Linked DNA regions of Coturnix japonica. The protein of the gene in region 3 interacts with the protein of the main gene of each other region in a biochemical or structural test. Links are inferred from orthologs where the notes say so. Each region holds a gene or a part of one and is shown on either strand. Other genes may lie near its edges.

Region 1 (4,897 bases), on a different chromosome or scaffold from region 3:
TTCAATTTCATATTTAAGAAACCACTGAAGGGAATCATAGGTACCTCAGAGACAAAAATTACTTACACAACTACATTAAAAGAGAACTAATTGCTCCCCAAGTAATAGAGTCAGATTTTTTCTCCGCTGAGTATTAAGTGAAATTTAGTAGTAGCGCTCCCATGCCGTCATTAACTTGGGAGAACAGTAAATCCGATGCTGCCTGTTCAATTGGTTGCTTAATTTGCATGATTCGTTACTGTAAGCGAGTGTGCAAATTGCTAAAAGCCATTGGAAAACAGTTCAACTCACAGAGCACTTAAAGTGCACAGCCCTGTAACTTCCAGGAGCGCTTGTGGCGATCCATTAACTGCACAGAACAAGCTGTGTGCAGCCCTGTGCACATGTTCACTGCACCAACATCTCATTTGGGGAATCAGTCCCACACCATTCAATTTTTAGCAACTGAATTTCAACTCGCTATCACCTCCTTTGAGCAGTGAGACAAACAGTAATGAAATGTGGTGCGTCACAAAACCGCTGGCATCTCTTTATAGATGCAATAACGCACAAACGCCTGCTCATCACAAGTTTTTATGTTAAACAATTTAAAAATATACATATAAACAGCAGCAGTAATTAGCAAACCACCGCTACCTGCTTTTAGTGAGCTTGCAATAAAATCCATCTTAAAAATAATTCTTTTTTTCTGAGCCAAAAGGTTGAGAGAAAAGAAAGCTTTACGGGGACTGTTGAACAAAAAAAAAGCTGACAGAGAAGATAAGCCACCTTTAATAGCTGTACAGCTCATTAAGTTTCCTGAGCTTTAAAAGAAACATTATGCATCCTCCTAAAATATAAAATACTTAGGCTGTGTTATGGGAAATACGTGCCGAGAACTCCTTGATTCTTAAACCTGAACAGGACCACATAGAGAGAACAGCTTTTCTAAAAACAAACCTGCCCCCTCATTTTTATCCTACATTACACACTGGCACGGATCTAACAACATCAGCCAGAGATGTTTACAAACCTCTAAGAACATCAGGAGCAGAATATAGATCTGACGTTTTACACAGTCAAACTGAATTCCTGTACCCAGAAAACCTTAAGCATTTTTCCATATCCATTTTTTCTTCCCCTCTTCTCTTGTTTACCCTCTTCCTCATCTTCCCACTCCCACAACACAGCATTTATCCAGCATATGGTAAAGGGGATTAGGAAGTCAAAGTGGCTAAAAAACTTCATTCCTGCTGTATTTTTCAACTGCATCAATTCCCAGCAGCGCATGGCCACACAGATAGATTTTAGGATGCAGTGAATTGTGTAAGGCTGGGAAAACAAGCCACACAAATGGCTGTGATTAAACAGTGTCACAACATGTGAACACACAGCCTGAGGGAAGCCGCTGCTGTTTTATACAGTCACAGAACCTAACGGTCTGCCACCTCCACCCCGACTGCATTCTTTGCCACATCATCACAACTAATTTCTCTTACGTCATCCAACTGACAAATATAGTGACCCTAAGAGAATGGTGGAGTTCAGTTCAGCTGTGGGTGCCCTCAGAAGGGACAGGTTTCTCTGTCCTCTCTCATTTCCGTCTCCTCATGCTTTGCTAATTCAGCTCACACTAAAATAGGCAAAAATAAAATAAATATATACCTTTAAGTTTTCTGGTAAGGTCAGACACAGAGACTCTAGAATGAGGACCTAGGACCAAAGGATGAACAGCACAAAGCACTGTGGCATCTCACCCATAGGTCACTTCCATCTGATCCTACAACAGAGTTGTCCAGAGGAAGGGACATCCTTCCCAATTTCCCACCCTCAACAGCCAGCTCCCCAGTTCTTGGTGAGCAGATAAAGCTGACACCTTGGCCAATCAGTCAACTAGTGACATGAGACCAATTTGGATCAAGTATTCAGGGTGAACTAAGCTACTTTTTGTTGAGATTACATCACTTACGAAATTGTACCCTCTGGTACTCTGATGAAATGCCTTTCTCTGGCTTTGTCATAAGGAACTGTCCATGTGCCCCTCATTCCTCCTTTCCAACTGCTATTTCAATGCAACTCGTGAGTCAGCTGTGACCTAGACTGAGGAATTCACCTACATAAAAAAATTCTCAAACAAAATATTGTATTTTTAGTATTGGTCCTCTTCCACTTTGGTTCATTATATGGGTACACTCATATTGTAACAAAGAAAGGGGAAAAGAGGAGGATACAACAAAGCTACCAGTGACTGCTGACGACCAACACAGCTGCTTCAAATGCAGTTTACTGCTTCAGTATTAGGCATGATGCAAAAACTACTCATCCAACAGTCTGTACACTTACTCCAGTCATACCAGAACGGGTTTGGTAAAGAAGTTAACAGATCCCTTCTAAGAAGAAACAAGCATCTAGTATTAAAAAAACATCATTAAGCCTCAACCACTTGTGCATTCATCAAAATACAACTTATCCCTCAGCCTGTTTTCACATCAAATCTGAAAGAAAACAAAGAACACCAGGAACATACAATTCACACAACTGTGATTCAAGATTAATTGACTGATGCAAGTGATTCCACTCCTTTCACAAGATCTTGGTATTTTTATTAACGTTCATTAAGTTTGGGGGTCTTCTGGGATTTTTTTCTTTAACTTCTTTCCCATTTCCTCACTAAGACCAGATATGGGCTCTTAAATCAATCTATATGAAGCATATCTGTAGAGAAAGACCCTGGAGAGGATTATGTGGTCTCCTTATCCTTTTGTGGTTGTTATTTTATACAAACCCACAAGCTTTCACAACATCTTGGCAGAACGTTTTAAAATGCTGAGCTGGAAGGAAACGGAACTGGACAACAGTACAGAGTTCCCACACTCTTTGCTTTTATTCATCAAAACCCAACACCTCTGCACAGTTAACAGGATTTCAACAGGAAACACATCTCAATTAAAAAAATACACTGAATGACCAAACGAGCAGAGTTCTGACCTTCAGAAATATTTATAATCCACTAAATGAATGCAACCTTAGAAATTGAAATATCCAACCTTCAAATATGCGATCCAGCCGTTGCCGCTTCACTTTGTGTTTGTCCATTAGAGACATAAGAGGGGAAGCTCAGAGAACGTCTCCGCACAGTTTGATGATGGACTTCAAGTCAGCCACAACTCAGAAACGTTTTCTGCCTTTTATAAACTTGTTTGTTTTTTAAACCTGTGAATAGAAAGACAGATTTCTTAAATATAGTGGGTTTTTTTCCCACCCCTTTCCAGAAGAGTGACCTATGTATACTTAAAAGAATAAGAAAACATTCACAGTTCCTAAATATACTTGGTATCCTGGGATTTCACAATAAGCTTCCCCATAGGAAGGCATCATAACAAAGCAATCAAGGAAATGCTCCTCTCATCCTTAACTCCATGATATTAGAATAAATTAGAGTTTGATACTGGGAAGTTTAGGGTCACGATTCAAGAAACATATAACTGAAGATGTGCATCCCAGTGAGAGCACAGACTGCCAACATCTATATCAAGCAAATGGCATTTAAAACAGCTTCATGCATGACTAGGCAAGCTCTTTGGCAGCACACACAACTAAGCACTTTTCAGATCCTGCGTAGCTGGGCAAGACAGCAGAAGGGTAACACAACACGAAGCCTGCAGGAAGGGGGTGGGGAGAGGAGAAACATCCCGCATCAAAATTCTCACCAAAATGTACACTGTAAATAAAACACACAGGAGCAAGTGAATGGGTAAAGCTATAGAGATCCTTGGAAAAGCATAATAAGAGCAGTGCATTTGTCCCCTGTAAGAACTTAATAGGCTCTGAGAACCAAACACGTATTACAAGCATGGTGCATACAAACACAGGCCAAATAATTCATTTCCCTGTTTCCTTTTATTCCTTCCCAGGAGCTTTCAACATCAGTGGTGAACATTACATGGCTTTGCAAGTGACCAAACCTAGAAATCTGCTTGTTTCTTCCTTGATTTCTTCCTTTTTTTTTTTTTTAATCAAATCAAACAAGTGCACATTTAGTCAACACCTCACAAAGACTCTTGAGGTGAAGTGACAAAAATATTTTGAATATGAAGCACTGCACATTTGCATTAAAACAGCTATCTTCTTCCAGCCGTACTCTGCTTGCTGCTTTTGGATTTTTAAAACAAAGCTCCTCTCCGTGTTTATTTTCACTTGAAGATGAAGGCAATGTGCAATATTCATCATGCTTTTATCGCTTTATTCAACCTCATCCTCCCACCCACTCTCCCTCCACCTTTTCCTTTATCCTCAGATTCAAGAGTTCTAATGTTCTGCACAATGTCTGACTACAGCTGAACATAATCATCGTGACAGCAGAAATTGATGAAGAATGCTGAAGCCAAATTTCTCTTTAAAAATAAAACAAAACACTGCTGTATAGTAAATTTCCTGTTATAGTGCCTCACATTGATTATTCCTGCAAAATACAACATCCTTCAATATTGAACATGGCTTCAAGATTACATGAGCATTACACCAAATCTAACATGCGGTTAAATGCTTTTTAAAATTAGCCATAGCTACCTGCCTTTCCTTCAGTCAATGTGCCAAACTCGTGTCAACCCCAAACTAGCATTTCTTTGCCTGTTACCTTTGTTTTACAACCTACCACCTCCAATAGACACAGAAGAAGGAAAATAAAAGAGGACAAGAAACAAAAACCAGAATACACTGAATGTTTCCAATGCTAATCTAGGTTTAAATTTTTATAGCTAATTTAATTTCCTGTCTTGTAGAAACATATATGCCTTCTGTCCTCCTTGCGCTCAGTTTTGTTTATTCATTCAGCCCAAGATTTTTCCACTGTAGTCATTCTATGTACGAAGTTGGCTGACAGCTGTAAAAAAGCAGCCCATCTGTAACTACTGCCCTA
Region 2 (4,859 bases), on a different chromosome or scaffold from region 3:
TAGGTTTCTCCCAGGCCGGACAAGCACACACACACCACGTCCAAAAACTGCTGATTTCTGTCTGCCCCACTCCGCTGTTACACTCCATTTGTTTGGGGGTGGGGATCAGAAAAGGCCTCTGCACCCCAGGATTTGGAGAGAACCTTGGGGTCCCTTTATTCTCAGAGCTCCAAAGAACTTCCACACCTATGTCAAAGACTCTCAAGAGAGAATGGCAGAGGAAAAGCAGCATGTTGGCCATGTAACTCAAGAGAGGACAGAGCACAGCACAGCTCACCCCACACTATGGCTCGTTCTGGCTTTGCCGTGGCACAGCCTTCAGTGTGTCTGAATGCACTGCACATTACTGAGTGCCAAAGGAAAAATAAAACCAGAGCTGCAGTCAAAGCATTGTTCTCTGGTACCTTGGACTGCATCATCTTGCAAAGCTCGGCAGTGCTTCACAAGGAAGAAAAAAGCAGAACTCCACTAACACTGCACCTCCTTTTAATGAGAGCACGGGCAGTGTCTCAGTGGAACTCCTCGCAGGGCGCACAGCCACCAATGAGTCACACATGGTGCACGCCCGAGCAGCGATAACAGCACCATTCTGGGAAGTGCAGCCACACCTCGGAGGAAAGCGTTGCTCATTTAAGGGCAAGAGGAGTCAAGTCAGCAGCAGAACTCTCGGGAAAATGCTGTATGTCATGTGCCCGATGAGCTGACGGGGAATTCAAACCACAGCCCTGTTCATGGCCGCCCCGTCCGCTGCGCTGCTCAGCGGCACCACGCAGCGCTTTGTGCGCCCAGAGCCGCATCCAGCCCGGCGCAGGGACAGACAGCAACCACGGCAGCGGGCAGGGAAGCGCGCAGCTTCAGCCCCGGCTCTGCCCGCTTCCTTCTTCAGCCCCGCCGGCAAATGAAAGGGACGCGGGGACATTCCCACCCCCGGGCCGTCCTCACTTCTCCTCCGTTACCAAAACACAACGCGTTTAAACCGGTGTTTTATTTTCAACATTCTGTTACGGGGGGGATGAAAACAGCCCCATTTCTTTTACCCGACCTCCGCCCCCAAGCAGCGCTGCAGCACTGTTCCATTCTCCATCAGACCCATCTCTCATCGTTCCGTCCTCCCGCTCGCTCCGCTCTCACGCCCCGTCCCGTCCCCGCGAGGAGCCGCGCTCCTCCGCCGCTGCTCGCGCTCAGCACGGCGGCTCAGCGGTCCTCACGAGGGCCGGCACGGGCAGGGATCGGGCCCGAGCCCACGCGGATAACGGCGCCCGGTGGGTTTCCTCAGCCCCGCGGGGCGTCAGCGCCACCGGCGCCCCTTCATCCCAGCGCGGCCGGACGCGGAGCGCAGCGCCCTCGGTTACCGCAGCGCCCTCGGTTACCGCAGCGCCCTCGGTTACCGCAGCCCCGGACGGGCCCGGCGGACGGAGCCGCGTTCTCTCCCGGCATCGCAGCGTACCGGGCGGGGCGGGGCGGTGCGGGGCACGGTGCTCGGGCCGCCGCTGACCGCTCCCGAGTCTCGCCCGCTCCGTCCTGGCACCGCAGCCGTGGGCGCGGCGCTCCCCTGCCTCCTCCTCCTCCTCATCCTCATCCTCCTCCTCCTCCTCCTCCCCCGCTCCCCCCGCCGCCCCGCTCCGCTCCCCGCCCCGCCCGTCCCCCGGAGCATGCTCGCTGCGGCGGGGCCGGGCCGGAGGCTGCGCGCGGCCGCCTCTTGCGTCAGCGGAGCGTTCCGGGCGGGCGCGTCGGGTCCCGAGAGCCGCGGCCCGATGGTGGCGGCAGCGCGGCGCCATGAGCCGCCCTTCGTCCGCCGGGCCGGGCTCTAACAAACCCTGCGGGAAGCAGCCGCCGCCGCACGCCCCCGCCCCGGCCGCCGCCGCGCCCGCTCCCGCCGCCGCCACCATCGCCGCGTCCGGTGCCGGATCCTCCGCCGTGCCCGCGGCCGCCGCCGTCCTCTCCGGGCCGGGCGGGCCCGTGTCTCCGCAGCACCACGAGCTGACGTCGCTGTTCGAGTGCCCCGTGTGCTTCGACTATGTGCTGCCGCCCATCCTGCAGTGCCAGGCCGGGCACCTGGTCTGCAAGCAATGCCGGCAGAAGCTGAGCCTCTGCCCCACCTGCCGGGGCTCGCTGACCCCCAGCATCAGGAACCTGGCCATGGAGAAGGTGGCCTCGGCCGTGCTCTTCCCCTGCAAGGTGAGCGGACGGGGCGCCGGGTTGGACGGGACCCCCTTTCTGCTCACAGCCCTGCTCCTATTTCAGACGTGACAAAAACAACTCGTTTTCTCTCATCGTTGAAATAAGCGCAAGTGGTAAATGCGCTCGTAGGTACGGAGCTGACTTAATGCGGACACAGGGCGGGACGCAGGGCTTCATCTTTTGGAAAAGAAACCTCGCTCTTCGCAGCTTCCATAGGAGCAGCGATGCTCTGCGTCCCGAGAGCTGGGGCAGGGTTAGGGACACCTCCCTTAGGGAGGGTCCTGCTGAGATCCTTTAACTTGTCACCTCTGCCTGGAGCTGCTGCCCCATTTCTGAGCCTTCTTGTGGTTCTGATCCCTCTGAAGAAAAGGGAATCCAGTGAGGATTCATTTCGCTGTACTCTTTATGTTTAGTCCGAGGGCAAGATGTGGAATCCTTTCTGCACTCCACATCCAACCGTAATGTTTTGCTTTTAGAACCACTAGGCGTAGTGAGGTTGTGTATCCATTGAAAGGGCTCCGGCAGCATCGCACTGAGCGCTGCCCCCTTCGGCCGGGCGCAGGGACAGGCACTGCAGCCTCGGGCCGCCGCTGCTTCGCTGTGCAGCTGGGAGGGAAGAGCAGGGATGGACTCAGCGTGTCATTCCCGGCTCTGCTGCAGATTTCCCCTGCAGCTTCAGACAAGGTGCTTTAATCCCATATACACCCTGCCTTCATTCACTGACCTGGCTCTGCTGAGCACCTTCAAGCTTAGCCAATGTTTTCAGAATGCTTTCAGGCACTCACATTACCTGTAAGGGGAAGTCCAGGGTAACGCGAGTGAAGTGACGTACATAGCAACAACACGGAATGCTAAGTCATTATGTGGTGATGGCTGCAGGGCTGCCTGCTTCCTCTTAGGAAGGTGAATGTGGTGCAAGTAGTGCTGTGACGAAAGGTACTCGTAAAAGTGGAATGCTGGGAGCGAGAGAAAGGCAATGTGAGAGCACGGAGCAGTCACATCAGCTCCGGCATTTGTGGTGCACCAGCACTGCCTGCACCCTGCGCTCCTGCCTCAGGAAGGACACAGGAGAAGTGGAAAAGGTAGAGCCGTCAATGAGATGGGCGGTATCATATGACCTGCACGCAGGGAAAGACCAACAGGCTCTTTGGTTTGAATGAGGATATGGTAAATATCGGTGACATGTGCCAAACAGCATGAAGGCAACAAGTGCTCTGTGTTCCCAGAAGATCTGTGAGAGTCCCTTACAAACCCAGAGCGCTCCGTGAATCTGTTCACAACCTCCTGCTCACCAAACAAAACTGCTGCTGTGTGTTCAGGAGCCAACAGAAGGAGGTGGGTCACAGCAAAGGAAAAACCACAGCTATTTCCTCAGCTCTCTTCCTTGTGTGTTCACCACTGGTCACTTTCTGATACAGGCTGACACTACGCAGACGTTTGCTTTTGCCCATCCAGCAGCTTACATGTTCTTACTGCTTTTCTAACAGGGTCAGACCGAGAGCGGTTCTTCAGCAAAGTGCAAAGCGATTACATTGCCAACAGGGGTATGAATGTAGAGTGAAAACAGCAGAACAGTGAGAGTGGAAGCATAGAACCCAGCGGCAGGGAGCCGTGCTCTGCATGGTGGGTTTCTGCCTGCAGCAGGAGGAGCCCTGGTTGCACCGCAGCACACCTCTGTGCTCCTGTCACAGGTGGATAAATCCTGTCACAGAGGATTAAGCAGCAGAGCACACGTTATGGCTTATAAAGCAAGCTCTGTAGAAGCACAAGGTCTCGTTTCTGTCCCAGCAGTTGTAGCACTGTGCTGCAGTGTGGGTGATTTGGCTGCAGTAAGGAGGACTGTGGCGTCTGCATCTCAGGCATTTCACTCTTTGAGCTGAAACTAATTGTGTTTGCATTTAACCCCAAAATACGCTGTTAAACTTTGATGAATTTGGACTTTGCTTAGTTGAACATTTTACAAAAAGTCTGTCCAGACTTGTGTTTCCCCAGAGATTGTCTTGTTCCTTCAAACATTCTCTCACCTTTGGTCTCAGAGCACAGTCCCTGACCCAAAGAAGCGTCCTACCTCCTGTAGGCAGCCACACGTGGGCTGTGATGGCGGGACCGCATGAGCAGAGTTGCAGAAGTCTCTCCAGCTGTCTGCAGATGGGGGGAGCTGTGCTCCTGCTCAGAGCAAAAGACGCGTTTCTCCTTAGAGGTAGTGAGGAAGAAACGTGTTCAGTGCAGACAGCGACTCGGTGTTGAAAAGGAAAAGCATCCCTGTTTGCTGAAAGCAGATTAACCTTTGGAGGTGCCCGATGACATTAAGAGCAGTCACGCGGTGCTCACTTGTGATGAGCTCTGTGCTCCATAAAAAATCAGCATCTCTCTTCCCACTCTTTGAAACCGTGGTGCTAAAACTTGGGATCGTGGGTCTGAGTTTAATGGAAGTAGGTCTGCTCTGTGTTTATTAAAGGATGCTGTTGCAGTAGCTGTTTGCTGAGACTGGCATCCTGTGTGCTTTCTAAAGAGAAGAATCCATACTGGGACCACTTCAGCTGATGTGGACTGTTCAGGTCTAACTGCAACAGCAGATGATCTACAGCTCAGCCTTGTGGTCCATTTCATCTAAGTGCTTGCATTTAAAAAGCAAACAAAAGCCAACAGCTGCCAAGTACTGGAAGAACCTGTTTTTA
Region 3 (4,782 bases):
AAATATCAGCTTTATTTCTTTAACCTATTCTGGTCAACGATGAAAAAACGTGGTGCACAACAGTGGTGAATGTTGATGGTAATTTCCTATTCTGACTACTTACTAGTTATCTATAATTAAAATTCAGAAATGAAGATCTAAAAAAGGATAACTTATGCCACTATAGGATAAGTTTATGAACAAACATAGGTTTCAGGACTTAGAGTCTTCAGCAACATTAAATAATGACAATTTTTTTCAAGATAAAATGTTTAAATTTAGGTACCTAAGTAAAAGATAAAGGAATCTGCCCAAGCTGAGTTTAGCAGGCTGATTATAGGCATCCATGATTCCATTTCCAGGAGTGCTGAACTCCTACAGCTCCTGCTGATTTGAGTCAAGATCTCAGACAATCACAGAAGTAGATCTGAAAATTATGGTTTATATTTGTATTTGAAAGAATGTAATAAGTTGACACAGATGCAGGATTCTGTCGGGGCATATCCTGCTCTCTGCCTACAGCTTGAATAAATATGCAGTACACAGGACTAATATGAAGTATTCTTGCCTCCCAGCCATGAATATGAAGCAGCACAGCTGCTGCTTACAGCCTGTGTGCAATTGTAGTAGAGCGGCTTCTGTATCCTTCAGAGAAGGGTGTTGCCTCACCAGTAGTTCCTCATGGTTATGGAAGCATGTCCCATACCCTCGGTGTTCTGCAATTTGTTTCACCTTGAAATATCATGTGTGGTAATTCAGAGCAGCTTATACTAACCCAGACCTCCATGGAAGGCGTGAGGTGTGCATTTCACAAGCAGGCTCCCAGGATCCTGTCCCTAACATATAGCAAAGCTATGCAGAGTTCTATACATACATGTAGATATGCTTAAGTACTTAGAGCAGGACTGTAATGGGGGTTAGAACAAAAAAAGGGGACAAACCCTTCAGCAAGATCTGTGGTGATAGGAAAAGAGGAAATGGTTTCAAACTGGAACAGGGGAGATTTAGATTGGATGTAAGGAAGAAGTTTTCTACAGTAAGGGTAGTGAAGCAGTGGAACAGGTTGCCCAGAGAGGTGGTGGATGCCCCATCCTTGGAGACATTCAAGGTCAGGTTGGAGGGGCTCTGAGCAACCTGCAGGGGACTAGATGACCTTTAAAGCTCCCTTCCAACTCAAACAACTCTGTGATTCTACGAAGCAAGGCTGAATTGGAGCCTAGTTTCTGTCTTTTCACACTCAAGATTTGGTGTTAGTACTACAAAAAAGGTATTTTCTGACAAATTTCCTTTTGCAGTCACACTGAGCAAGACCTCTAGCCCAGTGCATCAGCACATAAAACGAAAGAAATTTTATAACACCACAGTCTTGCTACACTTACCATGAATGTATCACTCCCTCACCCCTCTGTAAATTATTTTGCTGGAGGCTACATCATTCCCTCTGAGCAGCACGCCGCGAGCTGACGGAGGCGTGAGGCACGAAGCCTCCCCAGTGCTGAGCTGCAGCATGTTGGGCGGCCTTTGATGCAAACTGGTTGTGCTGGTTCCCGGCGCCCCAGGAACCGGTCAGACGAGCCTGTTATGCCAACAAATTCTGGTATGATTCCACACTCTCCAGAATGCAGAAACCTGCCCAGCCAGTTAAATGAAAGGCATATTAGGTTATCCATTGCACATTGTATATATCCTAGGAGCAGCAGATCTCCTCTCGGCACTCTCTAGTGTGGTCCACGGTGGCTTCCTCATCTTACTTACGCTTGAGGTTTATAGCTGGAGGGGAAGTCAATAGTAAACATTTATCACCCCGATCAGGAGCAGAACTTTGCACAATTCAAAGAGAAGGGTGAGTTTTGAAAGCCTTTATTTAAAATTAATTTAAGATAACCTTAAGAAAAAAAAAAAATTATCTGATGCTTAAAATGGTATAATGGCTTCTTACATATATGATCTCCTTAAGGTGTCTGGGTACTGCCAGCCTCTGTGGTGCTTGGTGACAGGATTTTGGGGAGAGCAGCTTTTTGACCCTTCTTGTGCTCAGCTCAACATCTGTCTGCTGGAGTATTTACTGGAGGCAGTTTAAGGGACCGTGCATGGACTGAGAGAGAAACTTCACTGCCAATGAGTTAGTACATAGAGTGTGTCACTTGAGTGTTACCTCTTGGTCTCCTCTTTCATACAGCGTATGTAAGCTAAGTCTTCTTGCTGTGAAGAGGTGTAGTGCGACTACAGCAAGATGTGCTATTACTGGTTCATGTTGGATTACTGTTTTTATTTAATTATTCAGTTTTATGAGGTGAGTTAATTAAAACTAGATTTACATGTTGAGAATTGGCTTCCTGGTAAAATAGGAAATGTGCTTGTCATTCTTACCGCTTCCTTTCTACATAATTACCAGAAGTTTTCCTGTTTAGAACATACCAGGTAACGGTGGTGGCAACAGCAACAAAAAGCAATCCTAGGCATAAAGAGCAGGCAAACCTGAAGGTTGTACCTGTATCAGCAAGTGAATCCATTCACAAGTATGGTGTCAAATAAGAAAAATTAAACAGTGTGAAAACAAAAGCTGTGGAATCTGGTAACTGATTAACTACTGGAGCACAGAAGCACTTGCTGAGCTGAACAGAAAGGAATGAAGACAGGTTTTGTCATGCCTGTTAGGACAAAATAACTCTTTACCTTCACTAAATGTGAATGTTCTCACCATCCATGTAACTGCATTTTTAAAAACCCTTTCACAGTTATTTCTGGCTCCCTGGGAGTCATAATTTAGTCTATCTTCAAGTGAAATTATTATGAGTTTTCTTTCATGATGTTAAAAATGTAAATAAATCAGTGTTCCCAGTGGACACAAGCTGCTAGATGCAAAAAGATCTGTACGGCATTAAGAAAGAAGTTATAGTAGTCACCTAACAGGAAGCTTCAGTTATGGAGGTATTTATTGCCTGCTATTTCCAGGTTGATTAAAAATGAACATTATTATCCTTCTGTAAAATACCAATCTAAAAAATCTCCTAAGCAGCTAAAAAACCCAACGAGTAGCAGATTAAATGATCTTCTCATTAGTCACATTGTATCTCTGTGTTAAAACTATTCTTCCAATATGAAGTAACACAAAGGACACAGAGATTCCCTAAAGTTTTACACTCCCCCAAAACATAAAAACAATAACAACATAATAATAATTTAAAAAAAAAGTTTAAATTTTATCATCATTGTCGATTTTCCTATTAAATACAGAAAGAAATTTTGCAAATTCTGCTCTCCAAAGGAAAAAAAAAAATGGAACTGGCTGAACTGCATGGTTTGAGCAGAGACTCTGTAGAACCTATAAAATGCTACAAGAGAGTTTTGATTTCTAAAGCTACAGTGCTGGAACACAGTACCTTTCTTAAAATTCAGACCAAATAAATCAGCTTTACAAAATACTGTTTGCCATCTTCTCTCTCTGCAATTTGTGTTCTGCTTTATTTGGGTTTTCTTAGCTGCTTCTCTTCTTTTCTCTTCTTTCTTTAGAAGTGGGGGGGGGGGGGGGGGAGGAAGGGGCTTGGAAGGCAGGGGCTGTTGTTCAGATATTTTTTCCCCCTAAAGGTAAGTAAAAAGTTTCCCATTGTGTTATTTTCCTGTCCTGAATTCTTGTCATTCACTACAGCAGAAGGTAGATGGCACGATTTTGTACACAGAGCTGTACATTTTTATTTCAGCCTTCCATGCTGAAATAGCTTTCCAGGGCTGAAATATATATGCAAAGCTATTCATGATTACTCATGACAACCTGAGAAATATCAGTTAGAGCAAAACATTTCTGCACACAGCTCACTCAAACAGGTGCTCTCCTTAGAGTCTGAGGGCTATGAACACTGCACTGTGGTCCTGAAACAGAATCCCTCAGGTCCTGGAATGGGTTTCTTCACCATCAAGACTCTCTAAAATATCTGTGAGTTTCAGCTGAACAAATTCAAGCTGCTTCTGACTACAGATGAGCAGTGAAAGCACTTCAAAGAAGAGAGTCCGTTAAAGTGAACATTGTTAGTGGCATCAGGGAATTTGATCTTGGCTCCATTTCAGAAGTGGCTACGCAAGCAGCTTGAGAAGAATCACATTCAGCTAGTGGGGGGTGATGGAGTGGCAGAAAAAGCAAATAATACCAGTGCCAGACAGCGCAATGGTATGCACTGCATGCATTCCCAGATGTATGAAATCATACCACTCAGAGGACCTCCACTTCCTGCACTCCTAGTCAAACCCTGTTTAGGGGGTTCAGGTAACAGCTGAACTGCCACAAGCTCCTATTCACTGCATACAAAGCTGGGCTCCTTTGATGTCTTCATTGGCAAATGCAACATAAAGTTCATGAAATGAACATGCCTAGATGTTTAGCAACATATTTATCCCTCTGTGCAGATCTGCATCTCAGGGAGGTTGGGAGCACACTGGCCATGGATGTGTATGTGGAATCTGCTAAATCTTATGTAAATAAATAAGGAGTTCACCAGTGTGTATATATATCTATACATACAGGAAAAGAGTGATATATTTATCGTTGTATTCAAAACAATTAAATACCTAAATCAGAGTTCCCCATTACAATTCAAAGCTGGTTTTAATCTTTGCATCTAAATCTATAGAAACAGAAAAATGTAAGTTATCTGCTAATCTCTTTTAACCCTATTTTGTATGCATATGCAGTGGGCTAGTTCTTATCTGAACGCAGTGTTATCTGAATGCTTAGAGACATTGATGCAGCCTCATCAGGAAAAAAAAAAGGAGGGGTCATAAAGGCTTTTCTTAATTGTTATTTTATCT
Region 4 (4,774 bases), on a different chromosome or scaffold from region 3:
GAACAAAGGACAGAGTGGGGCTGAATGGTAATTCCTGTTGATCAGGAAATGAGGAACTGCTGCACTCTTGCCAGCTGGCAAAATACCCAATGAAAAAGAAAAATAAGAAGCTTTCTGAAGTTACTAATGTGCTTCACTAACAAACATGCTAGGACACACAAAAAAAAAATTCTCATATTCAAAGAATATGAAACATTGCTACTGACAATAACAACAACAAAAAACACCACATGTGCATGTACAAACGTTCTGTAGTTTGTCATGCTGCACCGGGATCTGTCAGGCCGAACATGGCTCCGAGCACCCTGATGTAGCTGTAGGTGTCCCAGCTCCTTGCTGGGTACACGGACTCACAGAATGACCCGGGTTGGAAGGGACCTCAAGGATCATGTAGTTCCAACCCCCCTGCCTGGCAGGGCCACCAAACATCCACATTTACTAGATCAGGTTGCCCAGGGCCCCGTCCAACCTGGTCTTGAACACCTCCAAGGACGGGGCATCCACAACCTCCCTGGACTCGATGGCCTTTAAGGGTCCTTTCCAACTCAAACTATTCTGTGATTCTAAGAGCAGGCACTTCCCTGACAGCTCTACACAGCACACCTGCCCAACTCGGGCACGCCGAGCAGCTCACGCTACCGGCCCGTTCGGAGGAGGCGGCTCCCTATTTACCACAGTGTGAGCCCTCGGCACCCCATGCCGGCCAGCCACGCGGAGGCCGCCGTGACCTGCCCAGTTCTCAGCGCTCCCCTCAGCCTGCACCCACCCACCCACCCAGCCAGCCGGCCTCCAGAGGCGCCCAGCAGCCCGGCCGCAGCCACCCCCGCCCGGCCGCACAGCCTTCAGCTCGGCTCCCGGCCCTCCCGTCGTCGGCAGCCCCGTGGAGAGCAGCGAAGCCTTTCGCCCTCCTCTCCCCGCCCCCCGTCCCGCAGAGCCCCCCCGTCGCCGTGCGGGCGCCCCCCACGCGGGCCGCACCAAGGTGGCGAGGTCCTGCCGGGAGAGGTGCGGCTGCCCCAGCGTCACTCCCGCCTCGTCTCCCGCCATCTTGGCCGCAAGAGGAAGCGGGGCTGCCCGCACGGCCGCCTGACCCCTCGCTTCCATTGGCGCCGCCTCCACCACGCCCGGCACTCTCGGCCCGACACGGCCGGCCCGGGCTCAGGGACGCTCGGCGCTGTGCGGCTCGTAGCCGCCCTCAGTCCCGCCGCGAGGCGACAGCGGCTCAGGCGCGGCAATGGGCAGCCCCGGGTGATGCAACCGGAGCCGTCATGGAAGCGGGGCTGTGCGCATGCGCCTTGCGGCCGCCGCGGGGTAACGGCGGAGGGTTGTAGGGGTGGTGTGTGTGTGGCTGTGGGTAATGGCTGCCGGGGGAGCGCTGCCTTCGTGTGGGCCCTGGTGGCGCAGTGGTTAAGGACGCCGCTTTGCAACAGCGGAGGCTCTGGGTTCGAATCCCCCCTGTGGCGCAAGTGGTAGACGTGCCCACGCTCTGCTACACAGGAGACTCGAATCCCAGGGGTTTGGACTCTCGATGATCTCTAAGGTCCCTTCCAACCCGCATGATACTATGATACTGTGATACTATGACGGGGGCTGCCTCTCACAATGGCAGGCTGCACGGGCGCGGGGTCACCGCCCGCTGCTGAGTCGCAGTAGCTGCGGTGGGAGGATCAGCATGAGGCGCTCCCTGCCCCAACGCGGGAGGCTTCGGGCTGTGCTGGTGGATGTGAGGACGCCGGCGCTTGTCGATGCGTGTCTAACAGCATGGAAACGTAGGTGTGTTGGGGGGTTTGAGCGGTGTGGTGCAGGCAGGAGAAGGGGTGAAGTTAAGGCAGCGTGTGCCTGTATGTACTGCAAGTGAGCATCAATGGTGGCCATCAGCTTATTGGCACTAATGGTAAATGCCGCTGTACATGTGTTAGCCATCTCCGCTGGCCATAGGCCTTGCCATAGTTAGTGTGTCCTCTGTGTTGTCTAAAGCCCAACACAAGCAGCCTGAGTCTTTGATTGCAGACAACTAGCACCTGTTGTTTTCAGAGTCAGCTGAGCCTTGCATTCCTTAAAAACCAAGTAAAATCGCCAATACACTGATGACACACAGTCTGGAGACCAAGGTCCAAATTCACAACCCTCCCCCGTGAGAAACTGAACTGATTCCTCCTCTGTGGAAAAGCCTTAGAAGACATTGTTGCCAACTAGATTTCTTTGATCAGAGCAACTGCTTTCAATACAAGTAACCAACTGCATCACATGCATTCACATTCTTCAGCAGTGTTTTTGCCGGCTAGAAAGTGTGGAGCTTCACAGATTTTGCCTGACTACTCAGGTCCAAGCAGTAATTCCCAAGCACCCAGCAATATGATTGGTGGAAATGTGTGCCAAACCAGTATGTCTGGTTTAACAAGACTCGTCACTTCCCACTTCCACAAATGCCATTTCCATTCTTTCCTGATAGTATTTCCTGATACACCTATAGCAAATGCATGGCCAGCATTCTTGTTTTGAAGGAAAGGATACAAGAATGTGGTAATAAACCACAACGATGTTGCTAGTGACTGAATACATCTTCCTACCAAATCATTTTGCACGTTTGGTCTTGAAAATAAATGTTCATTTCTAATCTTCCATTAGACTATGTGATGTTGTACGATTTTTGTATAAAATATCTTGCTTCTGAGAAAACCATATATGCTTACGACCAAGATAGACAGAGCAAGCATGGAGAATATGATGCAATACTCGAATGTGGTTGCCTCAGCATGAGGCACGTATGATCACTGATGGAAATGAGCTGAAAATACTGGATTCTGTAGGTACTTACTGCTGTAATTATGCAATAACACAGCACAGTATAGGGTTATAGAAACAGTTGTTGCAGCAGCCTGTAGAAATGATTTACTCTTTCCCAATAAGTGTCAGAAATCTGAAGAAATACACTATTATTATGTTTAACAATGAAATTGTCTGCTTTACACCTTCTGTCTTATTATTTTGCTTTACTGTACTGAGTAATGTTTGTAGCATGAAGAAAAATGCAAGACTAAAGACTGTCTAGGACCTAAGTTTAACAGCCCTGTAGTTTTAATTAGGAGATTGAAACCTTCAGTACAAGTAAATTATTCAGTATGGAGGAGTCACTTTTATTTATGCTCTTAAATGCTGTCACAGCTGATGCATGGTTGTGTTTGTTTATAGTTTTCTCTTTGTTTTTTACTAGGTTTGAATCCATTTCTGCTGCAGTGTGTAGGAGCAACTTGAAGATCATCTTACACCTCAGCTTACCACAAACTGCAAACAGCAAAATGACAGTCAGGTAAAACCAGAACAGCCCTGCCAGTCTTTTTTATCCTTATTGACTTACACAGGTTGAAAGTCTGAAGAATGAAGTGTGATGTTTTGTTGCGTTGATTCTGTATGTGAGAAATAGATTTTCTGCTCTAGATTCTTTTCGCCAGATCACAAGATGTCAGTGGTGTGTGCTCGGTTTGGCAGAAGACAGACCCAGTGAGTAAAGGAGAACATTTTTAATGCTCTTTTTGCAGGGTCTGCTGTGATAGGAAAAGGGAAAATGGTTTTAAACTAAAATGGGAGATTAGGTTGGGTATAAGAAGAAAAACCTTTTTATAATAGGGGTAAGTGAAGCACTGAAACAGGTTGTCCAGCCCAGAGAGGTGGTAGATGGCCCATCCCAGGAGACAGAGAAGGTGAGGCTGAACAGGGCTCTGAGCACCTGATGTAGCTGTAGCTGTTCATTGCAGGGGAGTTGAACCAGACGTCCTTTAAAGGTCCCTTCCAACTCATTCGAATCACAGAATCACAGAATTGTAGGGGTTGGAAGGGACCTCTAGAGATCATCGAGTCCAACCCCCTGCCAAAGCAGGCTCCCTACACCACATCACACAGGTAGGTGTCCAGGCGGGTCTTGAATATCTCCAGAGAAGGAGACTCCACCACCTCCCTGGGCAGCCTGTTCCAGTGCTCCGTCACCCTCACTGTAAAGAAGTTCTTCCACACATTCGTGTGGAACTTCCTATGCTGTAGTTTCATCCCATTACCCCTAGTCCTGTCCCCACGCACTACTGAAAAGAGACCAGCCTCACCACTATGAAAGATCATTTAATTCCATGTCTTTCCTTTGGGACTTAGACAGGAACTGCTTTGATAATGGTCAGTTATATCACCTTGGTTGCACGAGTAACAGGTTTTGAAACAGCAACTGGGGAAATGGGGCAAATTTACTGTGTGAGTTAAGTGTAGGAGGTGGAGTGGTATGAAGCTGGCTGAGCAGAGAGAGGTCAGGTCACCTGTATGAAGGAGTCGGTGAATGGGAGCGGGTTGTTTGTAGTGTGGAGTAAGTAGGTGTGTAGGAGCCGTGGGAGGCAGTGGGAATAGCAGTGGGAATAGCAGTGGGTAGTCTTTTGTGAAGCTGTGCATGCAACAGCAGGTTCATTGTGTGAAGCAGTGAGAGGTGGGATAGACATTCAGATTGAGGGTGGCAGTCAGAGAGGAGTTATACTGTTTTAGAAATCAAGAATGGGATGGGGGTGGTAACGAGCAACTGCAAATAGACAGCGAAGGGGGTGGGAACGGCAATAATCAGGGAGAGGATGGCGGTGCACATCCCGTTATTTAAAGCAGTGAGTGACATAGCAGGCAGAGAGAAGTTTGAAGGAAGCAGGGACAGCCCAAAGCACCTCGTAGTTTCATATGGTGTCAGGACATTCTGTGATTAAGCACGTGAGGAGGTTGTTGGGTTGTTTTAGCTTTTGTCAGCCAGCAG

What was found. The genes of interacting proteins can lie anywhere in the genome.
Region 1: the proteins of RBBP8 (region 3) and CTBP1 form a complex in vitro, tested with the Homo sapiens proteins (3 studies listed by BioGRID and IntAct). The link is inferred for Coturnix japonica from reciprocal best matches to the Homo sapiens genes RBBP8 and CTBP1.
Region 2: the proteins of RBBP8 (region 3) and SIAH2 form a complex in vitro, tested with the Homo sapiens proteins (2 studies listed by BioGRID). The link is inferred for Coturnix japonica from reciprocal best matches to the Homo sapiens genes RBBP8 and SIAH2.
Region 4: the proteins of RBBP8 (region 3) and KLHL15 form a complex in vitro, tested with the Homo sapiens proteins (2 studies listed by BioGRID, with this or other methods). The link is inferred for Coturnix japonica from reciprocal best matches to the Homo sapiens genes RBBP8 and KLHL15.

Annotation. Positions count from the first base shown.
Region 1 is NC_029519.1:76,691,059-76,695,955, reverse strand, and holds the start of CTBP1 (C-terminal-binding protein 1), read right to left. Parts: upstream 3,193-4,897; 5' UTR 3,085-3,192; coding exon 3,027-3,084; intron 1-3,026. UniProt on the Homo sapiens protein: Corepressor targeting diverse transcription regulators such as GLIS2 or BCL6. Has dehydrogenase activity. Involved in controlling the equilibrium between tubular and stacked structures in the Golgi complex.
Region 2 is NC_029524.1:20,988,694-20,993,552, forward strand, and holds the start of SIAH2 (E3 ubiquitin-protein ligase SIAH2), read left to right. Parts: upstream 1-1,667; 5' UTR 1,668-1,776; coding exon 1,777-2,178; intron 2,179-4,859. UniProt on the Homo sapiens protein: E3 ubiquitin-protein ligase that mediates ubiquitination and subsequent proteasomal degradation of target proteins.
Region 3 is NC_029517.1:92,768,575-92,773,356, forward strand, and holds the start of RBBP8 (DNA endonuclease RBBP8), read left to right. Parts: upstream 1-1,688; 5' UTR 1,689-1,822; intron 1,823-4,782. UniProt on the Homo sapiens protein: Endonuclease that cooperates with the MRE11-RAD50-NBN (MRN) complex in DNA-end resection, the first step of double-strand break (DSB) repair through the homologous recombination (HR) pathway.
Region 4 is NC_029516.1:107,481,131-107,485,904, reverse strand, and holds the start of KLHL15 (kelch-like protein 15), read left to right. Parts: upstream 1-1,582; 5' UTR 1,583-1,770; intron 1,771-3,211; 5' UTR 3,212-3,307; intron 3,308-4,774. Other genes in the region: EIF2S3 (eukaryotic translation initiation factor 2 subunit 3), read right to left, coding at 976-1,101. UniProt on the Homo sapiens protein: Substrate-specific adapter for CUL3 E3 ubiquitin-protein ligase complex.